Linked DNA regions of Styela clava. The protein of the gene in region 2 interacts with the protein of the main gene of each other region in a pairwise test. Links are inferred from orthologs where the notes say so. Each region holds a gene or a part of one and is shown on either strand. Other genes may lie near its edges.

Region 1 (16,862 bases), on a different chromosome or scaffold from region 2:
AGTGTAAAACAGGAAAACATATTTTCAATAGGATTTCTTGAGATTATGCAGAATGATAGGTAAGTCTCATCTGAGTTACAACTTCAGTACAGCGGGTACCACATATTCAAGTGCTTTATACAACTAACTAGCTTGTTGCATATTTGTTTCGTAGCCTACTTGATCGACTAGACAGGGAGATTTTCATGCCTGGTGCCGTATTGAACAATAGGTCAAAATATTATTCTATTGTGTAATCATCAGGAGCTATACGCTGAGCATTATTAGAAGCTGAGAAACACCAAGTGAGCATCATCAACAATAGGAAATTACCGGGTCGAGAAAGAGCTAACTTACCAGGCACACTAGGTGGTGCTGGAGGTCCTTGCACCGGTGGAGGGGCCATTGATACAGATTGGGAATTCTGTGAAGCAGCAGGGCCTATAAGTTTCACAATGCGTGTTAGATTGTGTTAGTAAGCTCGAAGCCATAAATATCATTGCACCAGTATTAAATAAATCACCCTGCCAAATTTCTATTTATCAAATATGAAATAATGGATCAATAACATGCATCAGCTAATGATTAGGATATGAATATGAATCAAATAAAACTTGAAAATGAATGATGAAAAATGATGCCTAACTTGCAAATCCATTTTCCATGCAAAACAAAGCGTAAGTAAAAATAAAACTAAATACAAATACCAGTAAATAGAACCTAATAAACAGATATAATTTCCCAAAATGGAATTTTTAGTAAGAATGTAGAAAAAGAATGAAAAATAATGTAACGTAATAATGTAAGAATAAGAATGTAAAATAATATGATATACGAGGTGCGGCTAAAATGAAACGGGACTGACGTCACAGATTGCGCAACACGATTAACCATCGGTAATCAACACTTTTGCAGTGTTGCGTAATATGTGTTCTTTGTTTAACAGCTGTTTTGACACAATATCGCAATTATTTTTGCTTTTCAGGATCCATAAGTGAATGTGATGAATTTCTTGTTGAAAAAAAATGCTGTGCGAGGTCTGATTGAGTTTTTTGGCGATAGGGGGTTCAATTAAAGATTGACGACTGAGCAAAGAATTAACATTAAATTTTGTGTCAAACTTGGAAAAACGGCGACTGAGACTTTGCAGATGTTGCGTGATGTTTATGGAGATTCTTCCATGTCCAGAACAAGAGTTTTTGAATGGCACAAGCGATTTGTGGAAGGCAGGGAGGATGTGGAGGATGATCCGAGGTCAGGGAGGCCTTGCACTTCCACTACTGATACCAACATCGAAAAGGTTTGGCAGTTGGTTCGCAGTGACCGTCGCTTAACAATTCGCGTCATTGCCAACGAAATTGGGATGAACAAAGAAACGGTCCGCACCATTTTGGTTGACACTTTGGGAATGCGAAAGGTGTGTGCCAAAATGATGCCAAAGGCTCTTGAGTTGACTGAGGAGCAGAAAGCTCAACAATTGAATGCATGCCCAGTTGACATGCATTTTTCCAAGTTTGACACAAAATTTAATGTTAATTCTTTGCTCAATCGTCATTCTGCAATTGAACCCCCTATCGCCAAAAAACTCAATCAGACCTCGCACAGCATTTTTTTTTTCAACAAGAAATTTATCACATTCACTTATGGATCCTGAAAAGCAAAAATAATTGCGATATTGTGTCAAAACAGCTGTTAAACAAAGAACACATATTACGCCACACTGCAGAAGTGTTGATTACCGATGGTTAATCGTGTTGCGCAATCTGTGACGTCAGTCCCGTTTCATTTTAGCAGCACCTCGTATATCACATTATTTTACATTCTTCATACTATCAGTCGAACTCGTAGCATTTCTGTCTAATGAAGTTTATTCTGCAGGTTGATTATTTACAAAATAAATTAACCACAGAACTGATATTTTCTTTATTACAAATATCTATTTTTGATAATAATTTAACATGACAATCTCATGTATTAATAAATACTTGAGACATCAAAATATTGAAAATTCTTTACCAAACACACAAAGATTTTTTTTAGTTATTAGTAGGAATGTAAGTCAAAGGAATGGTTTTAGGGAGTCAATTGAGGCCAATTACAAGCCAGATCTTAAAGATACTAGCAAAAAAAAAATTTGAACAAATTTTGTCAAGTATTAGAGGTGCATTTTGTGTTTAACATCATTCAAAATCTGGGTATTTTGTGTAGGTTTTATAAAATCAGTTATTAAACTTTTGTATACTTTTTCTAAATTATTAATTTGTGTATTACATCCAGTTTTTAGGTTCTGTGAAAGAAATTTTGATTGCTTTTCAGAAGGGTGGAAATAATTTTTTCGAACCCCCGATTTGAATCTGATATCGATTTATTTTTGGCTGGTACGGCTACGGAGTTCATCTGATATATGAAAAGCATAAATAAATCCTGTGATGGGTGGGACTTGGTGAATTTTTTGTCCCATCCGACATGGAATTACATTAATTTTCCATACCAACATGCAACATCAAAATTCAGGAGGTAAGATACCATTTAGCATTCTACAAAACTGTGAGATAATAAGTGGGCTACTTGATGTAATTTTTCATTATTCACTACATTAAATGAATGCGGCTCTAATACACTTACCTGATCCAGGGTAATAACCACCACTGGAGCTCATACTTCCAGAACCTGAACTGCTGTTACTGTTTGTTCGATTTCGATACATGGTGGGAAGTCGTTTTGCTTTGTGAAAAAATTCGATGTAAAATCAAAAAATAACAAAAAAAGGCAAAATTATATATATTGTTAAAATAATCGAAATATAAATAGAAACAGGCGAAACAATATAAATTAGGGATTGTTGAAACCGGAAGAAGATTTGTGAAAAGTACACATTTCAACAAAAGACATGCAATATATGGTAAATTTACCACTTATTTGCAAGTAGCATAATCAAAAAAATTTTCCAGAACAACAAATAGGTTTCAAATATCACAGAAGGCGCAATCATGTAATAATAAATTTCAATCATCCAAAGAAGGAAAATCATGAATAGGTCACCATATTATTGTCACCTGTTAAGTAAGCATTTAGGCATGCAAAATGAAAAAGTATTTATAGAGCATATAAAATGATGTTCTGTTGAAATAAATAAACTTACTACTTGCGGTGAAGTCAGTTGGTACAGTCGGTGTTCGCACAGCTCGTATTGTGCCATAACCAGTTGAACTGGTGACACTTTTCAAGCTGTCACGTTTCCTGGAAATGAACAAAACCAAAATTTAACTACCAGATAAAAGATGTGGTCATGGTGGTGGTCTGGCGATTAATGGCATTAGACACATGCCATGCCAAAATCTCTGTTTCAAATCCCATGCCAACCACCCCACGCAGGGTGTAATAAATTGGGTAATGTCAAACTGGTAATATCCGATCCTTCCAATATGAAGTAGATTCTCACATAACAGTAGTCTCTTGCGCAAAACCTTGTTCGGGGCAGAACACATGTAAATATTTTGTATAAAAAGGCATTCAAACACAGGCGAGTATATTATTCATGTTCTTATACTCAGCCATAACCTTGGATCTATCTAAGCATAGTCAGTAATGAATTTGTTGAAGATAAATTTTCTATGAGTCAGTCATTTCCCTGTCTTTACTTCTTACAAGCTATGTATAGACACTGATTACTCTATCTATATTTGTACAATTTCATTCAAATAATATAATCAAAATTTTGAAACTTCATTATCTTGAGATATGGCCAATTGCTAACAAATACAATCTAATTCTCAGAACCATTCCATTTAAATATAGAGACATTCAGAGCTTAAGAACATTAATCCAGCAATGTGATGGAAGAATTAATGCCCACAGATTACTAGAAATGAGAACAGAATAAGATTCGGTATTTTGGAATCACTCAAATAATCTAGAATTGTTAATAATTCTGAATTCATGATCAAACCATTAAAAAATTTCATGCCTATGTATAAGTGCAAACATGAGACACTGCTACAATCATCATATCATAAGCATCTGCCAACATAAGAATACAGAGTTACATTGCCTTTCAAATTGCAATAACATGATTACTAACAATAACAAAATTTCCTGTGCTGCTGAAATATCATGTATACATTTTTTTCATTTTAAAATATATGATTGTGCTCGCGATACAACATTGCAACGTCCAACACCAAAATAGGAATGTCATAATTGAGCCTGATAATAACATAACTGGCCCCAAACAATCTCAAAATACTCAGAATGCTAGGTATCAAAGATCCCTCTCTGGTTTTAACTCCAGTGAAGTCATTGTTTATCAGTTTGTCAAATGTCAATTCAGTTTGTCAAATGTTTGGTTTGTCAAATGAGCAAATTACAACGAATTGCTTTAATAGAGATTTCGTCATGAGCAAAGCCATGAAAAATCATAAATGACTTGGAACAAGCATTAGCACAATAGCTCATCAAATCCTGAACTATTCAATTATATTAGCATTTTACTACCGTAATAACCTATAACATTTCGGTAAACATTTTCCAGAGGATACATTAATAGGATATGAATTTACCTTCCATCTACACTTGGACTTGGAGTTTTTGAGACTCTCCTCACATTCAGATTTCCGCTCTGAGATCCTTGGTTTGCAAGTTTCACACCATGTCCTACATCATCTAATTCAGCATAATCAATTGGTTTTCGTACATACTTGACAGTTCTGTGAATTGAATAAAATATAGCACCAATAAAAAGACATCATATTGCAGTGTATGGGTGTTTGAGCATTTCTGGTCTGTTTTTAAAAAAACTAGATTCAGTATATTTTAAGGTGTTAGAATACTTGTGTGATAAAAATAATTGTTTCAAATTTCATTGAACAGTTGTCTATTGGCTTATTTTAGAGCTCTCATTAATATTTGAACAGATTACCACATTTCATGGATAATATTAATAACAACACTAGAATCTTCTACCACTAGGTTCAATTTTATGAAGGCCATGGGCCATGGCCCTTTTTTCAACTGTAGAAAAATTTTAAAAGCTTTAAATTTACAGAAATTTTGACTTGAAATGTTGTTCAATTAAATTGATGGCAATTCAGCTACAAAGTGATATTAAATAACCAATACTATAAAAATAACAGATACTATTAATAATTCCTATATTAGAATACACATTTTGTCCATAAATACAACATTATAAATTGAAAATTTTCTGTTGAAAGTAAAATATTCTAATCATAATAAACTGTGCACCTGTCTGGATTAGATGGTGCAACAATCTGATGATTTCTTGTGATGACTTTGTTTGTCGTGAGAAGACCAATTTCTCTCCTTGCCACCTTCTCTTTATGAATATCAACAGTCTAAAATGAGAGCAATTGAGTTGTAGTGATAGTTTGTATATAAAACAGAGCGGCCCAAAAAGAAGACACAACAAACTGCTTAGTAATTATTTCCACGACAATGAAGAAAATTTATTTCACACTTGAACTTATGTTTGTGCATGATTGTACCCAAAAGTTGCAGTAATCTTGGACACTTTGCACAAACGTTATGCTCTCATCAGAATATGTGGTGCTCCCGAAGTATGCGAACCAAGATGGCGGACATCGGATCGTAACATGGGTAACAGGTTAGGGTTAGGCGATAATTTTTTTCCAATTTTCCTTATTTTAGTCCTATTATCAGTTCGAAGACTAGCCAAGAGCCTCCCGTAGTATTTAAACCTAAAATTATGGCCTAACCCTAACCTAGTACACATATTACATTCCGATGTCCGCCATCTTGGTTCGCATACTTCAGGAGCCCCGAATATGTTTTAAATAAGCTGGGTTGTGTTATTTGGATCGCCCTGTGTACTAACTTTAATTAAATTTGAATATTCTTCTTATAACTTCCTTTACACATATTTCGGTATAAGTACAAATGAGATTCGGAAAGTAAATTTACTGGCTGAATACATTGCAAAATATTGGCTAAAATCAATATATAAAGAATTAAATTAATCGAATAAATTCTGTAGCAAAAATAAGAAACACGTTATATTACCATTGAAATATTATTTATTGACGACTCCATGTTTGCAAGTTCAGCAGCCTGTATATCAAGCATATGAAGCATGTTGCTGGCTAATGTATTAATCTGGTATGCAACAGATGCAAGAGACTGAGTTGTGAAGTTCTTTGTTTCATCAAGTGCAGTCTTTTTGTTGTCAGCCTAAAAAATAGTACATGGTAATTTAATTAATCTAGTTTTTAGCAAAAAAGGTAAATAATACACTCAGTCATGATAATATTTAATTCACCAGAATTAATCACATCTACTAAAAATTAGGTATATAGAAGCGTTCATTTTCAAAATTAACCAACATAAAACCAGGGGATGTTGGCATTTCAGAAACAAACATTATCAATAGGTATACATTTCCTTTCAACGTTTATCTATTGTAATCAAATAAAATAAAAATATAGTGGACCTAATTATCCACTCAACGAAAGTCAAGTGCTATTAATACCAAAACATGAGTGCACATTATGATCTTCACTTACATCGACATACATCTGCTGACAATAATTTGCAACATTTTCTAAATTGGCTTTGCTATCCAAAAGAGCTTTTCTTCCACTTGGGATTTCCTCATGAAGTAAACTATCAAGCTCAGCCATATCGGACTATCAAATTATTCGTTGAATTATCAGACGATCAATATCACTGCATTATTATTAAACCTATAGATATATCGATAATACTGCGATGAACCTATAATAAATAAAGCACAGATGCTATTAAGCGAGCAATACAAGGTAATTCAGAAGTAGAATTGAAACGAAACCTGATGTATTAAACTGATAAATATATCTGAAATGTTTTCCATCATATCACTTGCTAGGGTAGCTCAAGACAAGCAAGCCCAAAATACTTAAAGAAGTAAAGCAAATGCAACAATAAGTATGTGGCGGCATCAAAACAGTAAACTAGTCATTGAACCATGAAAAATATGCTGTCATAATTGATAGACAACTTGAAAAAAATCTTGACTTGTAATATGCATGTGTGATGGTGATTTTAAATAACAAACTACAATTTGGTAGAAAGCATAGATTTAGCCCAATCACAATACAAAAAGCAGGAATGTGAAGCAATTCAACTCTTGTGCTAAACTTACTTTTTTTTGGAACTTCAACAACAATTTATTTTCACTTTGACTACAATATGATGAAGATATAGTATGGTTCAATTAAATGTTCGGTAGTACCATTGATATAAAAGTAACCACAAGCTATAACACCAGCAATACTGGTACATATGGTGTTAAAAATAATGGAAAAAAGTGGTCTCTTCTCTGATTAGGTATTTATCTTTAAGTGTATGATGACAAACATATCATTCATTTTTTTCATAAATATAATTTTCTCGTTTAGCTTTAAATGGTTGTGAAATGTGGGACCTTGCTTTGAGCATATTGTAAAACAGACTATTAAAGACGCCTGAAAATATTCGTACTCCACTATGTAATACTTTACAAAAAAGTAAATAACATTGAAACTATTATGCCTAAAACTACACCAGCACCAACCTTTAATATAGAATAATGCTTCACAAATGCTCATTTAGTACAGAGAAGAAAAAATAGGAAGTTCCTTACGTTTTAAGACATATATGAGAATTGAAACCAGAGACTGATCTGCGCTCTGAAGTCCCGAGTCGAGTGTGTTTTATTATAATATATTCTTTTATTTGGCAAAGAATCGTAAAATACCTTTCTTCAGATGTGATTGGAATATAAAATTCAGAATATACAAACCTATCTCTATCAACATAGCTTCTCAAATTTAATGACAAAAATATTTATGTACCAAATACTTCTTCTGTTCATACATGATATCTATGGTTGGTTGTAATCCATAAAAAATGATATTTTGAAACTTCAAAAAATAATAATAGCAATCAAGTATCATATTGCACAAAGAAAACTAAGGCACAAAAATATCAATTTTGCAATACAAACTGTACTAAGGCAAATCCTCAGCATCAAATGTTATTTCACATGGGTTGCTCTTCAATTCATGTCATGTCATTTAAGTGTACTTTGCTGAGATCCTTTCAACAGTGAAAAATTGTTCGTCAATGTGTGGAGTTGTGTTTTGGTAATGCACTTTCAGTTCTGCCATCGCTTGATCTTCCAGCTGAATATCATGCAATGGTTTATTCATTCTTTTTAAACTCTCCTCAGCCTGATTCATGGTGCTTTGCATTATGTCTCTAAACGAAGAATTTGGTCGGATTGCAGAGTCTTTTGATGTATCCTTTTGTAAAGTTTTAGGCGCCATTTGCCATGGACTATCTATTTCTGATTTTGTCATTTTATCTGGTGATACAACTCTTGGACGTTGCACAATAAGGCTGGGTGAAGTTGATTGTTCTTTCATGACATCCCAGAAAGACCTGGAGTCTGTTCTAGGTGGACTAGCTACTGTACCCCAAGCATTAATAGGAGGCGAGGTAGCAGCAGGGATAGTAACACTCTCCACTTCTAATTTAGCAGTTTCTTTTTCTAACTTTTTCCTTTGTTTTTGAGACAACTTTTTTGGTTTCATTGTAATAGCAGCACCAGATCCGCCATGGTTTACACTACTACTATTTTTAATAGGAATAGCAACAGGATAAGTTTTGGTTTCTGCAGCAATACCAGCCATAGAGCCCCATGGGTTATTTTGAGTTATATGTGATGATGGAGCAGGATGATTTGGTTGTGATAAATTCGAAGATAGACTGGGAAATTGAGATTTCTGAGTATCCATGTCTTGAAAATTAGATTTGTTTATATTTTGTGGACTTGAGACTGGCACAAAACCTTTTTGTATCGGTTTGATCTTGACAGCAGCTAATTTTTTATCAATATTATCGTTGAAATCAATATGAGTTGAAGCATTATTATTGGGTGGAGACACAGACGTATGAGAATCCAGTTGTGTGTTTTCATTAAGTGAAGCTTTATTCTTTGAAGATGCAATTCTGTCAACGAAACTGTCAATATCTTTATCATTCCTAGACAAAAGATCAGACAGAATAATGCCCCCAGTTGAAGATTTTGAGAATGATTTTTTCCTGCTTTTACTACTTCGTCTTTGCCCAAATGACTTTTTCTTTTGGGGTGAAGGCGGCCCTTCACCAGGCCAGACTGAAGATTTATCAGTTGGAGATAAAGGCTCAAAAATTGGAAAGAGAGAGCTGGATTCCAAATTCTCTGGTACATCGAGAAGTGGTGGACCCTCAGTACTAGGTGGCATACCTCGTAAATATACAGCACTGATAGCTGATCTGTATGAATCTTCCATCTCTTCCAACGTCGAATATTCTATTGAATAAAAATTCGGTGTATGCATGAGTGCTGGTAGATGATGGATTATAAATTGTCTACATGTTTTTATTAGCTGTGGACAGTGGAACGCAGACGCAAATTCTATTATCGAAGATACATTCTTCAAAGTTAATAGTGAAGCAACCTGAACTTCTACGATGTCCTTCAACCTATTCATCAGTAGTTGATCAGCAGCTGCCATTACTTCACACAGTGTTTCTGGTGACAGAAAGTGGTTCAATACAAAAGTGGAATCAGTGTAGGAGAACTCCAGCACATATTTGAAAATATCTGACGGAATCGGCACCTTTGTGATCATACCTTTACTTTCCGCCCATTGTGATAATAGCATGCTTCTAAAAAACTCTATTCTAGCTACCAAAATACATTTGTGGGCCCTTAAAATAACTCCATCGGAACATTCTAATTCAATATCACAAAGACTGTGAAGTTTGTGGCAGTCGAATGAAGGGAAGATAGCTTTAAAGCTACTCGTGCCCTTCTTCACTTGAATTACGCCATCCTGAAGAGTTATAGAATCGAAGAAAGATCTATTTATACCAAGTTTCTTTGCCAGAGTTTTAAACTGTGAAAGAAGATTGGATGTTGAATTGTGCTTGGAAGATTTTTCTGATTTTGATTTTTTTGTATGTTTATCCGATTCTTGATAGACTGCAAAAGCAGAAATACTACCATTTGTAACTTGAATTTTCCCTGACAAATCAATTCCATTTCTTGCCGAAGAGAAGTTTGTGATTTTGTCACTTTCCCAATAAATTCTGGTTTCTGTTGAATTAATATTTTTAGCAGCAGCTGGAACAGTATTTTTTGGGCGTAACAATTCGCAAGACTCACAATATATGAACTCAATAAGATTTCTTAACACATAAGGATCACAATTTTCAAAAAGAAGATGATCAATGTTAACTGTGTAATTTTCATTCATAAAGACACCATTCTGTTCTACATCCTCCGATGTGATTTCATCCTCATTTTCGATGGTACTTTTTCGCGTCTGGTGTGTGATAATTTTTCTCAGAAACTGAGAACGCGAGGCAAGAATGAATTTGTGGCAAGGTATTGATAATAGTATATTCCCTTTGCTATCAACAGCGGCTACAACCATGTCATGGACATTATCATTTTCAGTGACATCTTCCCATAATTTCTGAATATTTTCTTGCAGTTCACTATCGCCAACCGTAGGAACATCAGTGGAAAAGATACGTGGTTCACTTTGCAATATGGCTCCTGCTTTTGCTTTGGGTCCGATGTAACCAGAATGTGCACGAAAAACACAACATACCTGATCTAACGAAAATTCTTGTACAGAATCAGCATCCAACATATCCAAGCAGCTATCATATGCCTTTGTATTTACCGCTGATTGTGAATTTTTTCTTGGAGGTTTGGGAGCTTTCCAGTTTCCATACTTTGCAACAAAAGCTTGTCCTGTATTTGTGACTAACAAGGCAGTATGTCCATGATTGCAAATGGCTATGTCTTTGAAAAGAAATGATTGCGGCAGGTTGAATTTACATCTGTCGAGTGTTCCATGAGCCTTACTCCATGACAATATATCACCAGATTTTTTGCTCATTATGACATGTAAACTGTCATCTTTCAACAAATTGTGAACAGAGTGAAGTCGTTGATCAATTTGAGAAAGAGCCGAAACATCCAATCTTCCTCCACCTATTTGAACTTTTACAATATCCAATTGTTTCGATACTATTTTCCGACAAACGTAATTTTGTAACAAGTACACAGTGCCTTGTCGTGTAGAAACTATAGTAGCAGAATCACATGCATGAACACAAATAATACCATCCCCTTCTTTATAAACTCCTGATACTTGCCGAGGTTGTTTTACGTAAAGGTCGTTTTTAGCATGACCTAACTGACCAGCATTCGCACCAAAAGTGTATAAGCGACCCTTGTCAGTCCAAACAACAGTATGCAATACACCTGCAGCACATCCAATTACACGTAGAGTTTTCAAAGCTCCGTGAACTCTAACAGGAACTAACTCACGATCTGATGATGAAGACACACCAAGAATGTGATGCTTATTCAAGCCACAAACTAATAGATGACCAGAATCTGTAGTGAGTACAGTGTGATTCAAACCAACTGCTGCTGATAACACACACACACCTATGCTAAGAGAAACTTGTGCTGGTTCAAGACAAGCCTCCTGATTACCATTTCCTAGCCTTCCACCTTCCCCATGTCCACACGAGTAAACAGACCCAGATGTGGTAACAAAAATAGTATGGAATTTAGCCGTAGCAACTTCCTTAATATTGATATGCCTTTTGACAAAGAAATCCACAGGTTCTGGTAACTTGCACTCCTTTAGATTTCGTTGCCCTAGAACAAAATTGTCATTTATACCCCATGTATAGACTTCAGATGTATCTGAGTTATTAAGAACACAAGGCATTTTATATGTTTGCCTTGAAAATCTAAGATACCTTACCCAAGGTGAACAATCGAGCATGGCAATGTCCATAGGTGTCATTCCTTCCTTGTCCCTTACCCACATATTTGCACCATGTTCAATGAGCAAAATTACACAACCAAGTCTCCCGTAATACACAGCTCTATGTAGTGGTGTCCATCCACTTTCTCTGTCCTGGACATTTAAGTTACAATTAAAAGTTGCAATGAGCCAATCCAATACTTCTATTTTGCCACATGATGCAGCTAAGTGGATAGCACTTCGTCCCAAAGTATCACAACGTATGGTAGCTGTCGGACAAGAAGTTCGAATATGTTCTTTAATTTGCAATGCATTTCCTTTAGTAATAATGCAGTTGAGATCTGCAACACATTCTGGACTGCGGCATTTTTGGCCGCATTCAGAGTTTTCATACCATTCTTGTGGAACAGACATACTATTTCCAAGCTCACCCTCTTCAAACGCCCACCTTCAACCTCAGAATAACTAGATTCATGTAAAGGTTATGCCATATTACAGTATTACATCTAATTTAAATATATATCAAACAATATTTATCACGGTATGTAACTTACACACTTTTTTTTTTTGATTGGCTTACCGAATAAGTGATTTTAATAAATATGCAAAGAATGAATAAATGTACAAATTAAAATAAGTCCATATTCCATTGAATTCATAATCCATTCACCATTTGTTGAAATTGGTTTTCATAGTTTTTTCATCATTGATTATTAGTCATAATATTGAAATTATCTTAATAATTGTAATGATATAATACAATAAAAAAATAAAAATAAAATTAGCAAATGTATAATAAAACTTATCATAAACCTACGTAATTGCTTCACATAAATTCTGTAAATCCTTTTCAAAGGGTTTGTTTACTCTGGAATTTTTTATACCGGTACTTTTTCTATGCTCTAGGGCCATTTTTATCTGTTTTTTAAGAAGTGTTATATCAGGTGTTTTATTTTCAAATATGATCGAATTTCTCAATCCAAATTTTATATCGAACTATTGATATTAAAAGAATAATTGCATTTAAGTCTACACTACTTAGCCTATATGACAAAATAAAGGATCATTAAAATTTAATAATATACAAGAATCATAATTTGTAACAAAATGTATTCTAATTAACTTTAATATAATTAAGAAAACAAAATCATCATAATTTTCTTGGTAAACTCACAAGACATAAAAATATATACACTTTTTTAAATGGTATTTCTTTCATTGGAGTATGCGCAGCAGAAAAAATGCTCAGGAATCATTAATGAATACTACTAACTAAGTGGGCTACTTACAGTTAGCATGCCGGTAATAGAATTGGTTACTGGACAGAGTTATCAAATCGCGCCTCACAAATTAGGGGTTTGCACTCACTGTTATAATTGATGTCTTTCAAAGTGGGGGCTGATATTGAAATCGAATCTAGAGTACCGGTACGGTACCGTACCGGTACCGGATCTAGGACTAGCTCATCAGTATCACAATGTCAGAAATCGGCCTACCTGTCTGCCTGTGTACATGCAATACCATTGCGTAACGTAACTAATCAAATAGCCTATCCGACATGGACTAGTAACCAGACGAGAGGACCCTGGTTAGCTATATTATCTTCTTTTCTTTCCCCCGGAATACCGTAAATATAAAATTGAAAGCAAATCACAAACTGCCTAGCAAACAACTCAGCTACGGGCACTGTGCCTCAAAGGCGCAGTTCTAACTTTTCGCAGAGAAAGATCTCTGTCTCCCTCAAATGGTGAAATGACGAGCTGGGCGTTTGCGAAATCATCTGAACCACGATTTTTTTTTACTAAACTAACGGTCTCGCGTCAGGCTACCGATCCAGTCGGGGAATTTCTAACCATTTCATTGAACCAGATGTATAGGCTTTTGCGGAGAATGAGGCAATAACCACCAGTGATTGCGCTAACCGGTTCGATCCGACGTCCTAATAAAATCATGCGCCAACCACAGAACCAGAAACGTGTCATGCCCAGAAACTCTGTAGCAAATAATCGTCTCCAAAGGAGATCATATTCTGCAAGACAATGTCATTATACGTCGAACTCACGTTACAAACAAAGTACCTGATGAGATCTAGCAGCTCTAGTTATAAAACTGTCTGAATCGAGTAGCACGGAATCACAAATTCCAATTCTAACTAACTTCCCTTTGGCTTCAAAAAATCTGACAAATTCCAATAAAACTATTTTTGGCCAGAATTTTATTTCTTGGGGTATAGCACATCTCCTAAACACCCAACAACATACTATTTCAAACACTTGTACATGAAAAATGGGACAAAATTACAAAAGGAGAACCGACAAATCATTTCGCAATTCATGCACAACAGCAACGCGTCAAAAATCCAAAACAATAGAACTGCATCATGATGATTGACAAGCTACACCACAGTATTTGTCATAGTGACGCATGGTTGAGACCAGCCGATGAGCATGTGCGAAATTTGCCTTCGCTACATAGTTAATTCCTGCAAAAAATAATGCATACATTAACAAAAAGTAATCCGAATACATTCATGGCATAAATGCTGAATAACAATTTCAAACTCATTACAGAGAGATTAATCCCCCGTCCACTGAGAACAATTAACTGGTAAGACACGAGCCCTGCACAGGTTACAGGAAAGCGAGTCGTATTATTAGATTTCTTATACCAAGGATCCTGAACAGGTAAAAAAAATAGCCAACTTTGATTTACCCAGAATGAAAGAAGCAAAATAATCTGATGTTATCCTATTACCACAGATCTTAAAATCGAAACCATTTTTCATAACTCACCATGATTGCATTGACAATATCATTATTATTCTTTTTGAGAGATTTAATGGCTTTGTTACGGGTCACGGTCGCTTGCTGCATAACAAGTTCAATGTCTTTACTTTCGACACCAGAGTCATCAACTTCCTGATAATATAAAACGTGAAATACATAACATGGAAAATTGAAAATAAAACTTTCAGTCTCAAAACTGCCATGGCCCAAAAGTGGAAAATTTTGCAAAATTTCATCAAAAAATTTGGGAATGAGAAGGTCGCGATGATTGGATGATAGAGATTTATGTTAATCTATCATAGAAATTTTATCCATTTCCCTACATTTTGAAGCCATATTACTATCTAACAAGAAGAAAGCAATAAACACAAACCTCATCATTATCACTGTCATCTTGAACGCTTGCAGCAGTAGTTGCATTTTCTGCGGCAGATGGAATTGTGTTTTTGAACTTTTCAGCTGCGGCATGTTGAGCTTGTTGGGACAGATCTTCAATCTTGAAAAAAAAATTTTTTTTTGATTCATTATAAAAAATACACCTTCGGTATATGCACTAGTTGTCACAACATTCGGAAAAATATTTTTAAGTTTCTATATTCTGCGGATAAAACTTGAATGCTCAAAAACTCAATCCCATGATATTTGTTGTGACAGAGCAATTGATGTAAAATTGCATTAGAAGAAGTAGTCTGCAGTCAGTCATATTAGTTTCACATCTAGTTCTCTGAAGACTATGTTGTTAATGAAGTCGGAACAAAGAGTAACTAAATAAATGGTTATTCCTGGGTGGGTTATATAAAGACAGAAAACAAAACAATAGGAAACAAAAATTTACCTTTGCTTCACCAAATACGATATACGTATCTGAAGCTGGACTTTTTAAAACATCAGGATTGTTGATAACGAAAAGAATATTCTTCGATTTCCTTATTGTTACGCGTGTAATACCAGTGATGTTCTTCATACAATTCAGCTTTGCAATCGCCTAGATATAAAGTTGGTAATCATCAAATTTATTATCATTTTATGTAAAAGTACCAATGTCATCTAATCAAATTATGAATATAGAAATAACAAAATAAAATATATACAAGTGACATTGTTAAACATGTCAAAAAACAAAATAATCCAACTTTTGAAAAAGTTTCAAAAATTTAGCTTATAATATGAAAAAAAAAGTACGACATGTGGCTTTGTACTACCGATTCTGCTTGACACAGTTCCAATTTTTACATTGCAAATTGTAAAATTCAATATCATGCCAACAAACCTTTCTAGCTTTCTTTTCATTTCTTGATTGTTTTGCCTTTACTTGCTCCTGCTCTTCAGCATCTCCTCCAGCACTTGCTTGGTTGAGTAAGTTCATCACCTTAAAAATAAAAAGTTGATTATCACTCACTCACCAAAGAACTCAGTTACCTATTAAACAGGTACTTACCTACTGAAAATTATTTAAAGTAACAGTGTAGTGATATTGTAATGTAACAATTGACTTACGCTAAACGATTTAAATTCTAAACATAGCGTAGTTCCCTATTGTTTCAATAAATTCCAGTAATTTTGTTACAGAAAAGTGTGATAATTTTCATACTGGGTAGCATGACCAATAGAAAGTGGAAAGAGACATAGTGGCACAGTTGAAAATATATAGCTGGAACATCAGTGATTAGTATATTGGAGTTAAAAGAAAATCATATTGAGCCCCATATATTAAACTCAAGCATGAGAGTCTCAGTCTCGGTCGAGTATGGTAAATTTCATAAAACAATGAGAATGCACGAGTACAAAGAAAAATATTTATTTTTTCGACTTTGGTAGTTTGGTACTAGTTTTGCCAAGGATATATCTTTTGTTGTCATTAACAACATATATAATAATGCATGAGCTCAAGCCAGTACCGGACTACTTTTAAAAGTATTTAACAATGACTAGAAAACAATACAAATTTTACATCAGCTGACAGAGAAGCCTTCGTTGCAGTCGCTGATGTTGTCTTGGGATCAACATGAGCAGATGCCGTTGATGTTGTTATATTGTCGACTAAATCTGGCATGGAGTCATCATCACTGTCACCATCTGTACCTGAACCTAAAAATAGGGAAATTTTGATTATTATATCATCAGAAGACTTGAAGTGTACTTGATCAAAAAGTCAATAGTCAATAAACAATTACAATGCTATGGACTGTTAATAACAACTTGAAAAATATTCAGAAATATAACAGCGATTTCATAAATATATGAACTCATCACACTGTTA
Region 2 (16,514 bases):
ACAAATATTCAAATTCTTAAAGCAAACTAACCTGAATTGATTGAGCTCTTGCAGTGGGGGTGGGGCGTCGGCTTGTTTGTAAGTATTCAATACGGAACGAGACAGAGACTGCCTTGAGACTACTTGTTGGTCGGTTGTTACTGACGATTTGAATGCTTTCCTTGAGTTGATGTCGATGAGTGAAACTGAACATAAAAAAAATATGTAATTAGTAATTTTCCACTGAAACATGCCAGTAAATTATACGCTGCTAAATAATGATTGATCGGCAAATTCGAACAGATCAGATTGATGTCAGAGTGTGGGCCCTCGTCAACTCTAGGAGGCTATAGAACAGTTTTCCTGGGGTATATTCACTTGGCTAATACAGACAGTCCCCGAACTCATAATAGAACTAAAATAAGGAAAATCGGAATAAAAGTATGACCTGACCCTAACCCGATACACACACTACGGGAATACCCAAAATTTAAATAACCGATGAGAATTTTATTTTAAAATAGGAGATCACGAATGTTTTCGAGAGGGCATACAAGTTCGAAAAGTTTACCTTCCTCTACATTGGAATCCAGCTGGGTGACTTTGACTGACAGATGATCGATTCTATCTTTTAATGACGATGCTCGACCATAGAATGAGTTCGCCTCCGAGAAAAGTTCACCAAAGATGTCTTCCGCATGTTGGGAGAGCGAGGCAAGCTGATGGATGACACCTAAAAATATCAAAATAAATTATATGTTTTTATACAACGCTCCCCTCATTCTGTTCGCTTTGAACAAAGCCCTGTGCAAGGATCTACGTCTTCAATTTGGAAGAAATAGGATAAATGATATACTCTAGGGAAAGACAAAAATTCGTAACAGACAATAATGTTCACACAAGAGTGAAGCCTTGATCACAGTGTTCATATCTAAGAGTCAGATAGTTCCTAAGAAGGATTTAAAATTACATTTTAATCGTCTTGAAAAGTCTCAGGACATCTTTAAAGACTTACAATATTGTAAATGGCAACCCGTGGTTGTGTAGACCTCCAGCTCTCTAATTTTTAAAGAATGCTTTGTCATATTTATGCGCATCATTTTCGGTAATGAATAACAAAATAAAAATAATGCTACTCTAAATACCACGACGAACAGTGAATGCAAAAAGGTGTGAACAGCTAACTATTTTATTGTTATCAATATTGCACAAATCAACAAAATTTCTCCATTTTCCTTTGACAACATGATAAAATCTGTTTATATTAATGTAAATTTACAGAGTATGCTTGAAAATCTGGAAATTTAAAATCATGCTGGTGTAAACCAATAAACTGAATCTAATAGGAAAGATCTGTAGACTAACTTTATCTGTTCATCTATAACAAACATGTCCCAATATTTGATTTATCCTGGATTGGCACATACAGAATATGTTATATAACATTATTTTATAGGCCTAACGTATTTCGAATTATTGACTTTCAAGTAATTTCAGAGTGATCATCGAAGAATATTAGCTTTATTTGTACTATTATCAGTTGAAATGTCACAACATCGCCAAATGGGTCTGCATAAAAAATGAGTTTGAATTTGTAAATGCTAGAAAGAATGATATAATGGGTTTCATATTTTTAGTAAAAATTTCCAAAAATGGATTTATGGATGCAGACTAGTTGAGATGAACAATGTTTTGATGGATTGTTCTATTTTTACGGCCATTTTACATAATTCCTGATTGCAAAGTCTACTTAATAAGAGGTCAATATATTACAATATTATAGTAGAGGGCCAGCCCTTCACTAATGCCTACTATAAGGTTCATTTCCTCTAAGACTTCCTGTCTCTGAATCAATCATAATATAAGGTACATGCTGATGAGCAAAGACCATGACTGGGCAAACTGAGTAACTAACCAGATCTAACGCATTCTATTAAATAATCAAATGCATCCATATAAAGTGAATTTCTTGCCAAGTGTGCAGCAAGACATTGAATAGAGTAACTTGCTGATCATCCCTAAAATTTGGAATATATGATAAATTGAGCTATGCTTCACAGAGCTATGTTATTCTAACTCTCCTAGTTTATCCCTAGATCCAAAAATTTGTGCATATTATTTTGGTTTACCGTTAAATATTCCTAAACCTACTGTGTTTGAATAATTTACTATTCCTACTAAAATGGTATTTCGAAAGGTGAAATCATAGTTTGTGAAGTGAATAAACGCCATTTTGCTCCATTATTCCAACCAGTTGATTATTCCTAAAACCAAAATATGCTATGAACGTGTTTCAATATTTTATTATTCCTAAATTTACTTATTTGGATAATTTACTATTCCAAATACAATAGCATTAAAGAAGAATCAGAAAAAGGTCAATGCTTTATTTTTTTCCAGATAATGGGGAGTAGGGAAACCCCCAGCATAAAATATAAAAGCTCTGGAATCTGCAGACATATATATATATTTATTTTTCCAGATAATGGGGAGTAGGGAAACCCCCAGCATAAAATATAAAAGCTCTGGAATCTGCAGACATATATATATATGCAACAACATATTTATTTTTCCAGATAATGGGGAGTAGGGAAACCCCCAGCATAAAATATAAAAGCTCTGGAATTCACAAACAAACATATCGACACCTCAAAACCAAACAGTGCTCCACTTTTCCAAAAAATGACATTTTTCAATTGCTGATTTTCCTGGACTTAGCTCTACATTTTGGTCTATTTGCCTTATCTCTAGGTGCTCTAGATCTCAAGACAGCTATGGACATAACCCTGCTTTTTTTAGGGCATTTGAGAACTAAACAGAGCTGTGTCTACTATAGTGGACTTAGCGCTGGATAACTGCATTGTAAGTTGGGGCAAAGTCCGTTTTTTGGACATAGCTCCTCTCAAAAAATATAATACAAAGCGCTAAGTCCATACCAGCCTCTATAATGACATAATAAAGGGGCCCTAAGTCCAATAAAATTGTTTCTGGTCCAGAAAATTGAGAGCCAAAAAGGGTTAAGTCCCAACCCCCCCCCCCCCCCCCCAAAAAAATTGGGGCGAAGCACAATTTTTTTTTATATCATCTAAATATGGCCTTCATTGTAACTTTGGTGGACCATAAAAACTAGACATCCTCGATGTAAGGTATTAGAGAAATAAAAAAAAGAAAAACTAGAAAAATGGACTTAGCCCAATTTGGATTTCATGCGTCGATATATTTCCAACAATCTATTGATTTTCCAGACAGTGTGGGGTAGGGAAATCCCCAACATAAATAATAAAAGAAACCTACCATCAATGACTACCTCAGTGGTCATGTTTTGAAACATGTGTCAAAGCCAGTTGCTTTATTAAATATCCACTATTTAAAATATCCTGAAATATATCAGCAGTTGTGAGAAACAAAACAAAATCTGAGATCACCTATGACCCCTAACTAATTTACATAATCTGACAAATTTGTTGGAATTTGTACAAATTTTCTAAATACAGCCACTCTGTGGGTTTAGCGATGAAAAGTAGAAAACGTCAACAAAAAACAGAAAACGTCAACTCATTAACATGATGTATCACAAAACGCTAACAAAACAATAATATTCATCTCTGTGAAGCAATCCCAGTAGCAGAAATCCACCTATTTTTCACAAACCGTAAATCAGCCGTTCTAACAAAGCCCTCGTACCAGAAACCTTCATGAATACTAACTGCGTCAACCAACTGGCAGGAACTAAATAATTAAACATAAATATTCACTTCCACACTTCCTGGGTCAAGGGTCATATTGATCACTTTAAAATGATAACTAACGTGTGGGACAGACATAGACGCTCATTTAACATTTGGGCCATGCTTGTTCAAACATAAATCTATCTCAGAAGATTTTAAAATATTTATCACTACCTCAGGTATCGTTTCAGGCGAAAATATAAATTATTCAGATTTTTGACCAACGAGGGGGTTTCGTCTGTTTCCAGATTGTGATTTAATAATGCATGGGTTATTGCGCAATATCTCATGTAAATCTGTTGTTGTTGTTTATATTGATGAATCGTTTCTCCCGGGATTTTCATATCCAGCTTAATCATGTAGTGAAACACGACAACACGTCAAGTCGGTTATAGTAGTTATAATCTTGCATATAATTATTCCCCGAAGGACTGAAAGTGCGAACCTGGTAATCAAAGGTACGCTTGGATTGCAAGTGTATTCCTAGGCTTAGCACGATGAACCAACTGCCGAGCCTCTGAAAATTCAAAGATCACCAAAATCAAATAATTTAATATTCAAACAAATCCAAAACCAATATCCTGTGTCCGAAACATCAAATTGAACTGAATATCACCAGATTGCATCCCAAGAAAATTAGAACTTGTTATGCAGGGCAGAACTAACAAACTTCTTGTAATTATTATGAAAATGGAGAATGTTTATTTAACACTTCTTTTTTGTGCAGGATTGCACCAAGAGATTTAATTAATCTAGGACGCTTTGCACGAGAGTTATTTTCTCTCTAGAATTACAAATAACCTGGGTTCTGTTTTTTCTTATGAGTTACCCTACATTTATAAGTGCAAATCAGAATATCGAATCTAGAGGATTTAATAATAAACAAAAGGATCTGATAACAGGATCCTATTTATGTGACTATGTGACAATTTTCACATTCCAAATACATAATTTATCACATCAAAGGCGGTTTCTTGTTGAGAACTTTCTCATCCCAATAACAAACCATTCAAAGCTTAAAAGTTTAAAGTTTTTCTACTATATGTAGGCTACTGTGAGAATTTACAGCACAAATGATCTACAAAAGGGCCTTCAACAAGCCCTTCGCAAGACGTAGTAAAATTAATAAGAACCAGGGATGGAAAGGTGGTTTAAATTAATAGCCTTTGCTATGATGAAAACTAAGCATAAAAGCACTTCATTTTTAATAAACCCCTAGCTAATGACACAGGCGACCAGCACTGTAGCTTTTGCACAGATTGAATGTGTCCATGTATTGTAATAATACTAAATCAGTAAAGATATAATACATATAAAAAGACATGAAATTTCCTTTTTCAAAATAAAAAAATTCCCTCCTATTGTACGCTTTTCATTTAAAAAATACAGTTATGCTGGGATAAATATCAGTCTATAAAAGACAAAAGTAATACTACATATAAATACAAGATAAAATTCTCTCTTATAAATTTCCTTATCATTTTAGATGTATTGCTGATTGAATATTAAACCAAATCCTATAAAATATTGGTTCCCAAAAGTTACTAGGTGCATAGTTTATATATCTGCTGAAACGAGTTTAGCAAACATGGGTGACTTTATAATGCATAAAGTACAAATTAGCTGTAACAAAATTGAGTTTTATTTGATGAGTAGCATTTTTGTTATGGAAGTGCGCCGTGAGTTTTTTTCTGTGATTATTTGGCGCTGCACGACTAAAAGTTTGGGAACCGCTGCCATAAAAACACAAAAACTTTTTTCACTACCATGTACTACCCCCAACTCACCGGCCAAAGTATTATTAGTCACACATTCCAGTTCATTCTTCAATCCCCTTGGTATTTTCTGCCGACACAGAGCTGTGGGCGAGACTGTTCGTTTAACGATCGGCATGGTAACTGGGAATAGAATGGAAGAGAAATTAGAGAATTAAAATATAAATGAAGGATTAACCAGTAATTGAATATATTTTTAGCTGGTGATAAAATGAATAAACAGATGAACGGTAATTCAATCGGTTAACAATATTAAATAAATAAGCAATTAATCAATTTTGAATATATGGTTAATAACCGGTAATAAACAAATAAACAGTTAAATGGTAATACAAATGGATAATCAATATTAAACAAACGGTTACCAACCAATATAAAAAAAATAAACGATTGATCAATAAATGAATGGATGGTTCATGGTTAACGGTAATGGCTAACCGATGTTGAATAAATAATCGGTAATGGCTATTGAATGGTAAATGGTTACAAATAATTTGACTGCTAACTGTTATCTAGGTGTAATACCCTTTTCAATTAATATCTCCAGTAACTCCAGCTGCCAAGCCTTAGATTTTAAAGTTTTCTTATCGTTTCTATATTGGCAAAATAAGGAAGCTGAATAGTACTGACAACCAAACGAGAATATCGGTCAGAGACGGAGGACTTATCGATCAAAAGTTAGGGGATCCCCCAAAACAGCGCTCTTACTCCATAGTGACACCTTGTGTCCCATCAACTAATGCCCATCACTAATTATTACCTCGCTAATTATACGACATAATTCATCCAAAATCAATAGGCTTCTGGTCCGACATATGATGAATGCACATGCAAAATTTGGAGCAGATTCAATCTCGTTTTCGTGAGATATCGCGTGCATCTAACAGACAGACAGACATACAGACAAATACCTATCAACATACTTACCGATTAAAATCGATAAGTAACAATGAGTCGACAGTTTTGTAGGCTCTTTAAAATAATAAAGTAAAATACAAACTCACCGGTATTTGTTCCTACTTCTGAATTTTATCTTAGCTAAGTTATGTTAAATAATTAGTAACATCTAAAATTTAATAAAAAAGGGTTTATTAAAAGCACATGAACAGTTGTGTGAAATTTGTACCAATCTATGTGTAAAATCAAAAATATGTCTTCGACTTTCACACACTCTAGCTCTGCATTAAATACAAAATAATATGCAAATGCTATTTGAGACATTATCAATCACCAAAAAACGCTTCAAACTTTGCGATGCATTTGAATCTAAACTAAACCAGTATGTGAAATTATATTTATCCAGAATTACAATTTGAACTATTGTTAACCCAAGCATGTCCTTACAGCACTGGGCACCTTCTATTAAGGTGAGAATAATCTGACCAATCATGCAACATGGGCACCTTCTATTAAGGTGAGAATAATCTGACCAATCATGCAACACTAATTTGTTCGTGAAAGGGTCAGGATGAACATGTCAATGTACAATATATACTCAGGATAAAAATAAAAAAAACAGTATGATGAAAGGAGAGCATTTGGAGCTCCAGAAGTATGTGTACCAATATCAAGGTAACTAATTTTGTTCGACCACTTTACATCAAGTTGCGTAAAGGGATTGAAGCCTATGGGCAGGGGATATATTCACTTGGGTAACACAGACAGTCCCTGAACTCGTAATAAAACTAAAATAAGGAAAATCGGAATAAAATCATGGCCTAACCCTAACCTGGTACACATACTATGGGAGTGCAAATACCCTGTGAACAGTACCAGGTGACTGAAAATAGCTTGGGTTTCTGAAATCCTATTTGATAATTTTGTATTGAATTTATCAAGAGTAAAAATAGGACTCATAACATTTGACATAAATCATGATTTACCTGAATATTTAAAAGATTTTTTCCTAAAAAAGTCTGATTATCTCAAGTTATGAAAATAGTAGTTTCAGACAGCAGTGCACAGCACGTTTAAAGTAAATTCCTAAGGCACTTAGTACTATTTTGATATTCTAGATTCTGGCCAGATATGCATCACTGAATTTCCATATTGAAGGGGTCGGAATAGTATTGTCCTTATCATTGAAAAACATACAAAATATCATAAAACAGATGGTTGAAGGATAAAAAAGGAGGGGGAATACCCAGTTGAAATTAACCAGCTGGATAGAAGTGATCGTATATTAATAATAGTCCTTGAATCATATCTTGCAATCCAATTTGAATATTTAAAATGAATTTTTGGTATAAAATCTGTAACATATGATACAATTTTACTGCAAAAACATCAGATCAATACAAAAAAAACAGTAAATTTCAATGAGTTCAAAAATTACAAATTATTCAGCTGAATCAGCTCCCATCACCCCGTTTACCAAACCAGGAATATTTCATTCGACCTATTTTCTGAAGGCACTAATGCATGCTTTTGAATTTTTAAACCAGTCCCAACAACAGAACATGTTCAGAATCCAAAAAAATTTTGATCCAAGACCACAGGAAAGTTGAAAATTTGATTCAAGCTCCAGTACCAGAAAACATTGCCAAACCACACAGCCCATCCAGTAAGAACATTTGTAAGGCTCTATACAAGCAGCCATTGACATTTAACGATATGAGAGGAGTTACTCCTATTCGAAAGACTTGTTCCTTCCAGTTTGGCATTGGCTACCTAATTTATTACACCCTGGGTAAGGTGGGGGGGAAGTAATTTGGACCCAAGCTAAGTAATCTGTGTTGCCGACCACTAGGTCAACACACCACAGAAAACAGTAATTTGCTAGTTTTCTAATTTCAGAAATATTAAGGTTTACTTCATGATACTGTGTGACTTCAAATCTTCAAAAAATAATTTAAAATGAAAATATTTTGAATATTTCAAAAATTAATTCAAAATATTGAACACAATAAATTCCAAATTGATTCGAAAATTCATCGCTCCTGAAGTATGTTCACCAAGATGGCGCACAACCTGAACCCTAACCTGGTACATATACTATGTTCAGGTTGTGCGCCATCTTGGTGCACATATTTCTGGAGCTCCAAAATTCTATTTATTTTGGACATCCTTGCTAGTGGCTGCTATCATTTGGCACCGAGGCGAGCAAAGACACTAGAACTGGCCTGAGCTGCACCTTTAAAAATCCCAGCAGAAGAAGTACTGGACACAGTGTTACTTGAAATAGGCTTCTTAGCAGAAATTTTCTCCCGAATGTCACCGGTCGATTTGCGTTTCAAAGTTGCAGGTTTTTTCTTTTGTCCGACAACTATTAATTTTCTTTTAACAGCTGGAGATTCCTCAGTCGCTTCTTCGGTTTGCTTCGTTGTGCTTGTAACGATATCTCCGAGACGATCAAGTACATTAGATGACCTTTTAATCCCAGTTTTTGTCGTTTCTACATTTCTCTTGATTAAAACTTTGGTTGGTGATGTCGTTGTTGCTACGGCAACAGGTTTCTTTTTAATTGAAACAACTTTCTTTGCCATGGTGACAGTAACGGGTTTTTTAACAACTTGGGGAGGGGACTTTTGCACTCCAAGCCGATCGAGAACACTCGTTGACTTTGCCTTTTTAACGATGAGAATTTTCTTTTTTGTTGTCACAGGCGATGACGGCTTTTTCAATATGCCAGCGTAAGGGAGTTCCTCGCTGGGTAATTCCCCTCCAAGCCGCTTAAATATCCCGCTACTTTTGGAAGGCGATTTGTTCGGTGAATCGACCCCTAGTCTATCAAACACCGTCTTTCTTGGGTCAAAATCTTCAGCAAAATTTTTCGGTTTTTCTGCATTTTCGACAACAATTTTAGGAGAATTTCTACCAGAAGGTGAACGGCTATTAATGCTATGGTTAATCATTCTTTGTGCCGGTGACGATCCCTTACTCGTACGATTTTCAAGAGTCTTAATTCCGTCTGCAAGAATCTTCGAAGAAGCGTCACGCTTTGTTTGGTCATCCACGAACTTGGCGTGCTTCATAATCGCCATTTTATCCCCGACAGCTTTTATTCCGATGTCGGATAAAATATCGCGATCCAAATCACCGAGCATTCCTTTCTGTATTCTGTGAAAATAGAAGAGTTATAGGTGATGGTTATTTATTCAATGAGAATAGGGGTGTGTGAGAATTACTTTACAGATCTAGAGACATTGTCTCGTTTCAGAGGATTCCACTTCACTGATAAACAGACACCACTTCTTCCAGGGCGTATGGAGTGGACAGCGGACAGACAGTTGTCCCTCAGTTAAAATACATTAAAATGAAGTTGTGCAATAAACTAAGAAGGCGCAATCTAAAAACATCATCATTGAATTCCTCGGAAAAAAAGTTTTACCATAGAGCTTAAGATATTTTTAGCAAAAAACAACAATTTTGGTCACATGGCGATCGGTCATCTTACCTGTGATCTGAAAACATCACAGCGTACTTCGCACTTTGATCAGCTGGAATTCCAGCATCTTTGAAGAATTTAACCCAACTGGCAGATGACGACGCCATTTTAAATAATTAGTTAAATCTGATAAAAATATATTCATATTGTGTTTTTAATCTACTTTGCCAAGTGCCAACTTGAAATTCTAAAATTAAACAATTATCGGTTGATAAGCAAACAAATTAAAAAGGATTGCTACACGCTGAACTGAAATATGGGGTCTTCAGTCTGACTTTTCAGGTACCGCTGTACTGAGGTACCAGCAGTTGGTAAATACCGGTACCAGAATATGACAGATATGAGATTAACCCCTTGAAGACTGAGTATCAATCAATCAATTTTATTTTTTTGTAGTTTGGTCACCCTGACATAAAACAAAACAAGAATGAAAGAATGAACAAAATGCAGAGAACCTGAAGAACGGGCATAACTCACGGACAAAGTTAAAATACATACAAGTACTGAAAACAGGAAGAGCCTGCCGTCCACCAGAAGCAGTTAAAGAACACAATAAAATAAACATAGGCTACACCAGGGGTCGGGAACCCTTTTGGTTGAGAGAGCCATAAAAAGTACATTTTTTCAATTGCATTTGGTGCGAGCCATAGATGCATTTCTTAACTTATCAGACCTGAAATTTTTACTCAAAAGTCAACACATAATATGATGTCAATATACATTAAAAGTGACTTCTGATGCTGCATGTTGTCGCTGCGGGCCTTGAATGACTGTTCACATGCAGCACAAGTTGAAATCAACGATACTCATTTCCTTTCTTTCATTTAGGCATTCCCGTAGTATTTCAAACACTAGCTTTACTAGTCCGATCTGTATATGACAAATACTGTATAACCAGTATGTACAAAAAGCTTTTCTCGATTGCTCCGCGACTCTATCGCTTTGTGATGTCACAAAATATGTTCCAGAATCCCCTAGTTTTGTCACAATGCCTACCGTATCTGGTAATTCTCTTACATGCGTTGGGCGTGCCTTTACAAACGTATTGGCAATTTTTTTGCCAAATGTGGCTATAAAAGAGTTTGAAATCTCGTAACAATAGTAAGCATAGCCTCAGAATATTAGATTTTTCTGGGAGCCATATGCCGTCACTAAAAGAGCCATAGGTTCCCGACCCCTGCGCTACACGATATAAAATCAATCCGGCAAAACTTTTATTTGCAAGTTGAAGTTCCCATTGTTTTGTAATCATTGTTTATTTTATCACCATACTGCCATATGTACAACATGTATTTCCAATATCTGAATGGGTGGTTCACGTAACTGCTGGTCGATAACGGCTTCCTCCACCACCAAGTCCATGCTTCCGAAAACAAACAACATAACTAATCCCATACCCGACTTGGAATGGTAAACGGACGAGAGGCCGTGGTTCGCCATATGGATAAGCCTTTGTATCGGCTTTCCTCTCCTCCGGGATAAATATGTAAAATCCTATCCTATCCTGGTGTTAAACTACCGGTACTGATTCTGTGATTACTGATTACAAAACAATGGAAACTTCAACCGATTGCTGGATTGTGCAGGTCGAAACAGTCCAATGTTGTCGCATCACAGTCCAGCAGTCCGACAGTATTAATACCCATATGATCAATCAATCAATCAATCATTTTATTTCGGCTCTCTGACTAAAACGGAACAATACAAAAAAGTAAACAGACAACAAATACAGAACAATACAAAAAAGTAAACAAACAACAAATACAGAGATACCTGGAAGGCGAGCATAACTTAAAATAAATTTAAAAAACGTACAAGTACGTGCCCACCCACCAAAAAATAAAATAGAAATAATACGATTATACAAAAAATATGGACACGATTCAAAATCGGGCAGTCCTTATAACTCAATTTAAAATGATAAAAGCCAAATAATTGCTTGAATCAGTGGATAATTTACATGGAGTAAAATAAGTATTGCGCTTGAAATAAGACAGGTAGATAAAATTAAATGTAATAGAATCCCAACGACCTCCTCCGTCTCTGATAGATGTTTCAAATGTTCGTATACGATTATGGTAGCTGAGAAATCGCCAGAATTAGCCTTGCAGTAAATATATATAAATAAAGCTGATCCCGAATTCTGTAAATTTCGGGTCTGAGATTCCTATATAGCATAGAAATACTGAAATAAACAAGTCAAAATCTATGGGAGACATCGCTCGCTGTCAGAAATGCAAAAAATCACCAAAAACCTATGAAATGAAATCTCTAAAAGATAACGCTTTATTCTAGACTGCAAGACTTGAGTTGAAAACAGCTGAACCTGTGATCTTAGCGGGCTCCTAAGACAGAATACCGGTACAGGAATAGGCTGTCAGACTTCTTAGCTTTTGGACGACAATGTCATCTAGATTTGTTGCACGGGTACCGGTACTTAACACTTCTCTCACTATATCCAAAAGAAATGAGGAAAATATTTACGACCTCATTATCGTATAATTCGTACAGAATTGTTCGCAGAGGAAGATAAACAATATAAAATTTCGTTTTAGAATCTGTGATAAATCACAGTTTGGAAATAGCAGCTGCGAACATGACGTCATAGCACACCTGAGTGAACTCCGCCCGTTTTAATAGTCTGTCACGTGACTCGTGTAAAGTAATTTTATTTCGAATTCATAATCCATCATATAAAGGCTACAATGAAAAAAAATCTGAGCACATGAAAGATATAAATCTCTAATGGAGTTTAGAACGCACATATATAGAGAATTAAAGCAGCGAATTTCAAATGAGAAAACACGTGCTTGCCCACCAAAAAAAAAATCTAACGCAGTCTCTCACACACCTCCGGCGCGAAATTACAACAGGTGTGGAGGGTACCTTTTCTATCTTCAACCCTCTGCCTGACCTCCCTCAGCCTCCCTATCTTCGCCCCACCGCCCCAATCTTCATATCCGCGACCCATCCACCTCATATCCCCGACCCACCGCCTTACCAACGTCCCGATCGTGAAATCCCACTTTTTTTAGCGAAGCTTTATACGGGTCAAGTATGCCAATGATGTTATTGAAGCGTACGTCGAAGAAACACTGAACTGTCGTCTAATTGCCTCATTTGCGGAGCCTTTTTATGATAGTTTATGGTTTGGAATCTCAACTACCATAATTGATAGCTTAGAAATGAGCTATTATTTACCTTGATAGGTTACTAAACTACCACTCAATATGGGACGCGTTCCCGATTACTTGAAGCATGAAAAAAAAAAAAAAAAAAGATCACTTGAGGCACCGTTACGATTCGGATATGACATTTTCATATTATGAATATTGATCCAAATCAGATCGTAATCTAATCCGTGAAAATAAGAAAAATAAAAAAAAGTTCCCGAATTTTGGTTGGACACCATCGATATCATTAACTCCAAAACAGACTACTTTCTGTGGGACAACAGGGGAATCATATTCGTAGGAAATGTAATCATACATATTTTACCTCCGACAAGACGTTTGATTAGTTTAAAGGGCGTGTCCAATGAGATAAAGTTTAGTCAGTGCTCGATGGATTAAGTAAGACTAAATGCGGACGCCAAATATAAATAAGCGGTACGGAGGTACATCTCTGTAAACTGGGTAGCCTACATCCTGGTTAAAAGCCACTGTCTTAAACAAGCCTCAAGCCATGAATCAGAAGAGACCCCGAAAAATAAAGTCGATAGTCAAACAAACCCAAGTTACACTTCTGTCATCAGACCAGAGCCAGAAAACAACACCGTGTCTGAATGAAGCCAACTTCCCGAATAAATTGATCTAGAAAGTAGAGAAACAAAAGATTGATCACTCATCCACCAATTCCGAAAATTGTTATCCTCCATACCACAAATATCACCCAACAAGAGTGAGAAGAGTTCAACAACAACTTCCTCGTCAACGTGTTTACTAGAGCAGTGCTCCGCGAGACGATACCAGGTGTGCCGCACATGACTTGCAACTTTTCTCTTCTTTTTACAATTTTTTTTTATCCTTTGTTAATTTTATGTTAGTCTACTACTCTACTCTACTAACGTAAAGTTAACCTGCTTTTACGTTAGCTTGACCGACACCAATTCAAATTCCTGTAGTCGTGTAGTAGTCGATTCCAAGTAGTAGTCCAATTCAATTCCGTGAAGTCGTGTAGTATATAATCGAATATAAATAAAACTTGAGCTAGAGGAAAGAATTACCCCTGCGTATTCGAGAAGATTTCTTTGAAGTAAGAAATGACAGAACGCTAAGACTGAAAATCAGCGAAATTCCACTTGATGTGTTTTGGATTTCAATAAAAGAAAAATATAAGCACATTTCCAATGCAGCTATTGAAATATTGCTCCAGTTTTGCACTACTTATATGTGCGAACGAAGCTTTTCCTCTTTATTACTGATCACAAAACGATTAACGATCCTGTATAAAAGATGTTGACGGCGAATTTCGAGTTGCTCTTTCACGTATTGTACTCATAGAGGGAGTGCAAGGTTTTGAAACCAGGTCCCCCGGACCGTAGTAATTAATTCGAACCTGCAAACCCGCGCAGGTTAACAGGGGTGCGGTGTCAAGCCACACCACCGACCGGCACATTGTGTGCTTTGGAATGATGAAAAAATAAATTACTGAAAACTGACTGACTGAGTAGTCGATCGCGTACTGTACAGTCGCAAAATACGATATACACAATCACATACAGCCTGATAGAGCATATTATAACGTAGCAACAAAGTTTTGCCGCGGTCAAGGTTTGTAAATGGACTAGCCCAGTGGTTTCTAAACTTTTGAAAAAAAATTTCATGACGGTCCCCTTTCAAATTTTTTATTGGTGCCCGGCCTTGTGCCCCAGAGCAAAACATTAAAACGAACAAAAGTGTGCACTTGTATCGTTGTAAGGCAGCGTTTAGAAGCGAACTAGCATAACTTTATAAACTGCTTACTGTAACTCCCTCCTATATCAACAAACATGCAAAAATGCAGCGTCAGCTACTCTGCAGTCAGTTAACTTGTTTTGGCAGCAATTGAACTCTCTCTGTGATTTCATAATACGAGGAAATTGTAATTTAGGTTGAGCTGTCATGTAACATTCATGGTTTGAGCATATTTATTTTTCGCTGTTCAGATATTAAATGAATACTTCGCCAGATTTTATAGGGAACTTTCAACGACTTAAAACGAGAATATCGGTCAGAGACCGAAGACTTATCGATCGAAAGTTGGGGGATCCCCAAAACAGCGCTTTTACTCCATAGTGACACCTTGTGTCCTATCACTAATTAATGAATAACTCGCTAATCATACGACATAATTCATCCAAAATCAATAGGCTTCTGGTCTGACATATGATGAATGCACATGCAAAATTAGGAGCAGATTCATTTTCGCTTTCGTGAGATATCGCGTGCATCTAACAGACAGACAAACACCTATCAACATACTTACCGATTAAAATCGATAAGTAATTACGCAGGCCCTAGACCTGAATTGTAAGATTCGAATAAATCCTGAGTAAATGATGAACATTTAGTCCGGGTACAATTAAATAATCAAATTATTTTTTGCTGCGATTTCATTAAAAATGCGCCAACAAAGCTGGGCTAATTGGCATCGGTCGAATTTTTTGTACGCGTGTGTGCAGTTCTGCATATTCAGTAGCATACTCATTCGTCAGTCGCGAGTTATTTTGAAGATTTCAGTGAAGTCGATCGCGGCTGCAAAAATGGATAGTGCGCTCCCAAGCTTACCCGTTGCGTGCATGCCTATGTACAATAAGAATAGCTCATTTTATAAAATTCCAAAATGCTTCGCGGCACACTTGCCAATCTCTCACGCAGTTTGAGAAACGCTGTGCAAACTTCTAAGGCAAAAAACTAAAACAGTTCGCCCTAAATCCCAACTAGGAGGGACGTTACACAAACTCCACCGATTGCTTGAATTTATTTACATTTTTGTTAAGCTATGAATATTTACAATGAAGCACGGATCATCTATGGACAAAATATATTACAAGCACGGCCACACATAATTCGTAACAAATTAAAAATTCAAATACGGCCACACCTACGCACGATATAACAGCAACAATATCCAAGTATAATCTGTACATACGACACCAAAATTACCAACGGCCTTAGCTGATTCAAACATATGCATGACACAGACTGCAAAAAAACACAATATCACGAAACGGTGGTTTTACTGTAAACGTCCTATCACCAAAGAAATTAGGTACGAGACCAGAATATTCTCAGCTCAGGGGCAGCAATCCGCACAAATATATCTCGAATTACAAATTTTTCTTGGCTTAATTATATTCGAAACTTGGAGGGTCGATGCAAGTCATTGGGTGATTATTACAAATTGTTATTTGGTCAGTTTTCTTTATCCAATCCGTCCATGGGTAAAAATGCGAGAATAACGCGCCGAAGACGAACAGAATAAATATAAAAAGGCTTTGGGAAAATAACAGAATACTACTAATATAGTAAGGTTACCAGCCATCACCATCAAAATAAACAAATTAGGATATTACTGATGGGACAATATCAGGATAGAACAGAGGTGGGCAAGGTTTTTGGACCTGGGGCGAAACTTTTGCCCACCTAGACTGGCGGGCCATGT

The links.
Region 1: the proteins of actin-binding protein WASF3-like (region 2) and abl interactor 2-like interact in a two-hybrid assay, tested with the Drosophila melanogaster proteins (2 studies listed by BioGRID, with this or other methods). The link is inferred for Styela clava from reciprocal best matches to the Drosophila melanogaster genes SCAR and Abi.

Annotation. Positions count from the first base shown.
Region 1 is NC_135252.1:4,672,699-4,689,560, forward strand, and holds the start of abl interactor 2-like, read right to left. Parts: upstream 6,736-16,862; 5' UTR 6,636-6,735; coding exon 6,519-6,635; intron 6,187-6,518; coding exon 6,019-6,186; intron 5,334-6,018; coding exon 5,224-5,333; intron 4,686-5,223; coding exon 4,539-4,685; intron 3,220-4,538; coding exon 3,122-3,219; intron 2,704-3,121; coding exon 2,605-2,703; intron 421-2,604; coding exon 337-420; intron 1-336. Other genes in the region: inhibitor of Bruton tyrosine kinase-like, read right to left, coding at 8,049-12,230; nascent polypeptide-associated complex subunit alpha-like, read right to left, coding at 14,284-14,298, 14,609-14,734, 14,976-15,098, 15,438-15,587, 15,873-15,971, 16,554-16,690.
Region 2 is NC_135259.1:22,309,210-22,325,723, forward strand, and holds the start of actin-binding protein WASF3-like, read right to left. Parts: upstream 6,608-16,514; 5' UTR 6,487-6,607; intron 5,606-6,486; 5' UTR 5,601-5,605; coding exon 5,495-5,600; intron 713-5,494; coding exon 551-712; intron 186-550; coding exon 32-185; intron 1-31. Other genes in the region: uncharacterized protein LOC120337403, read right to left, coding at 8,566-9,541, 9,879-9,976.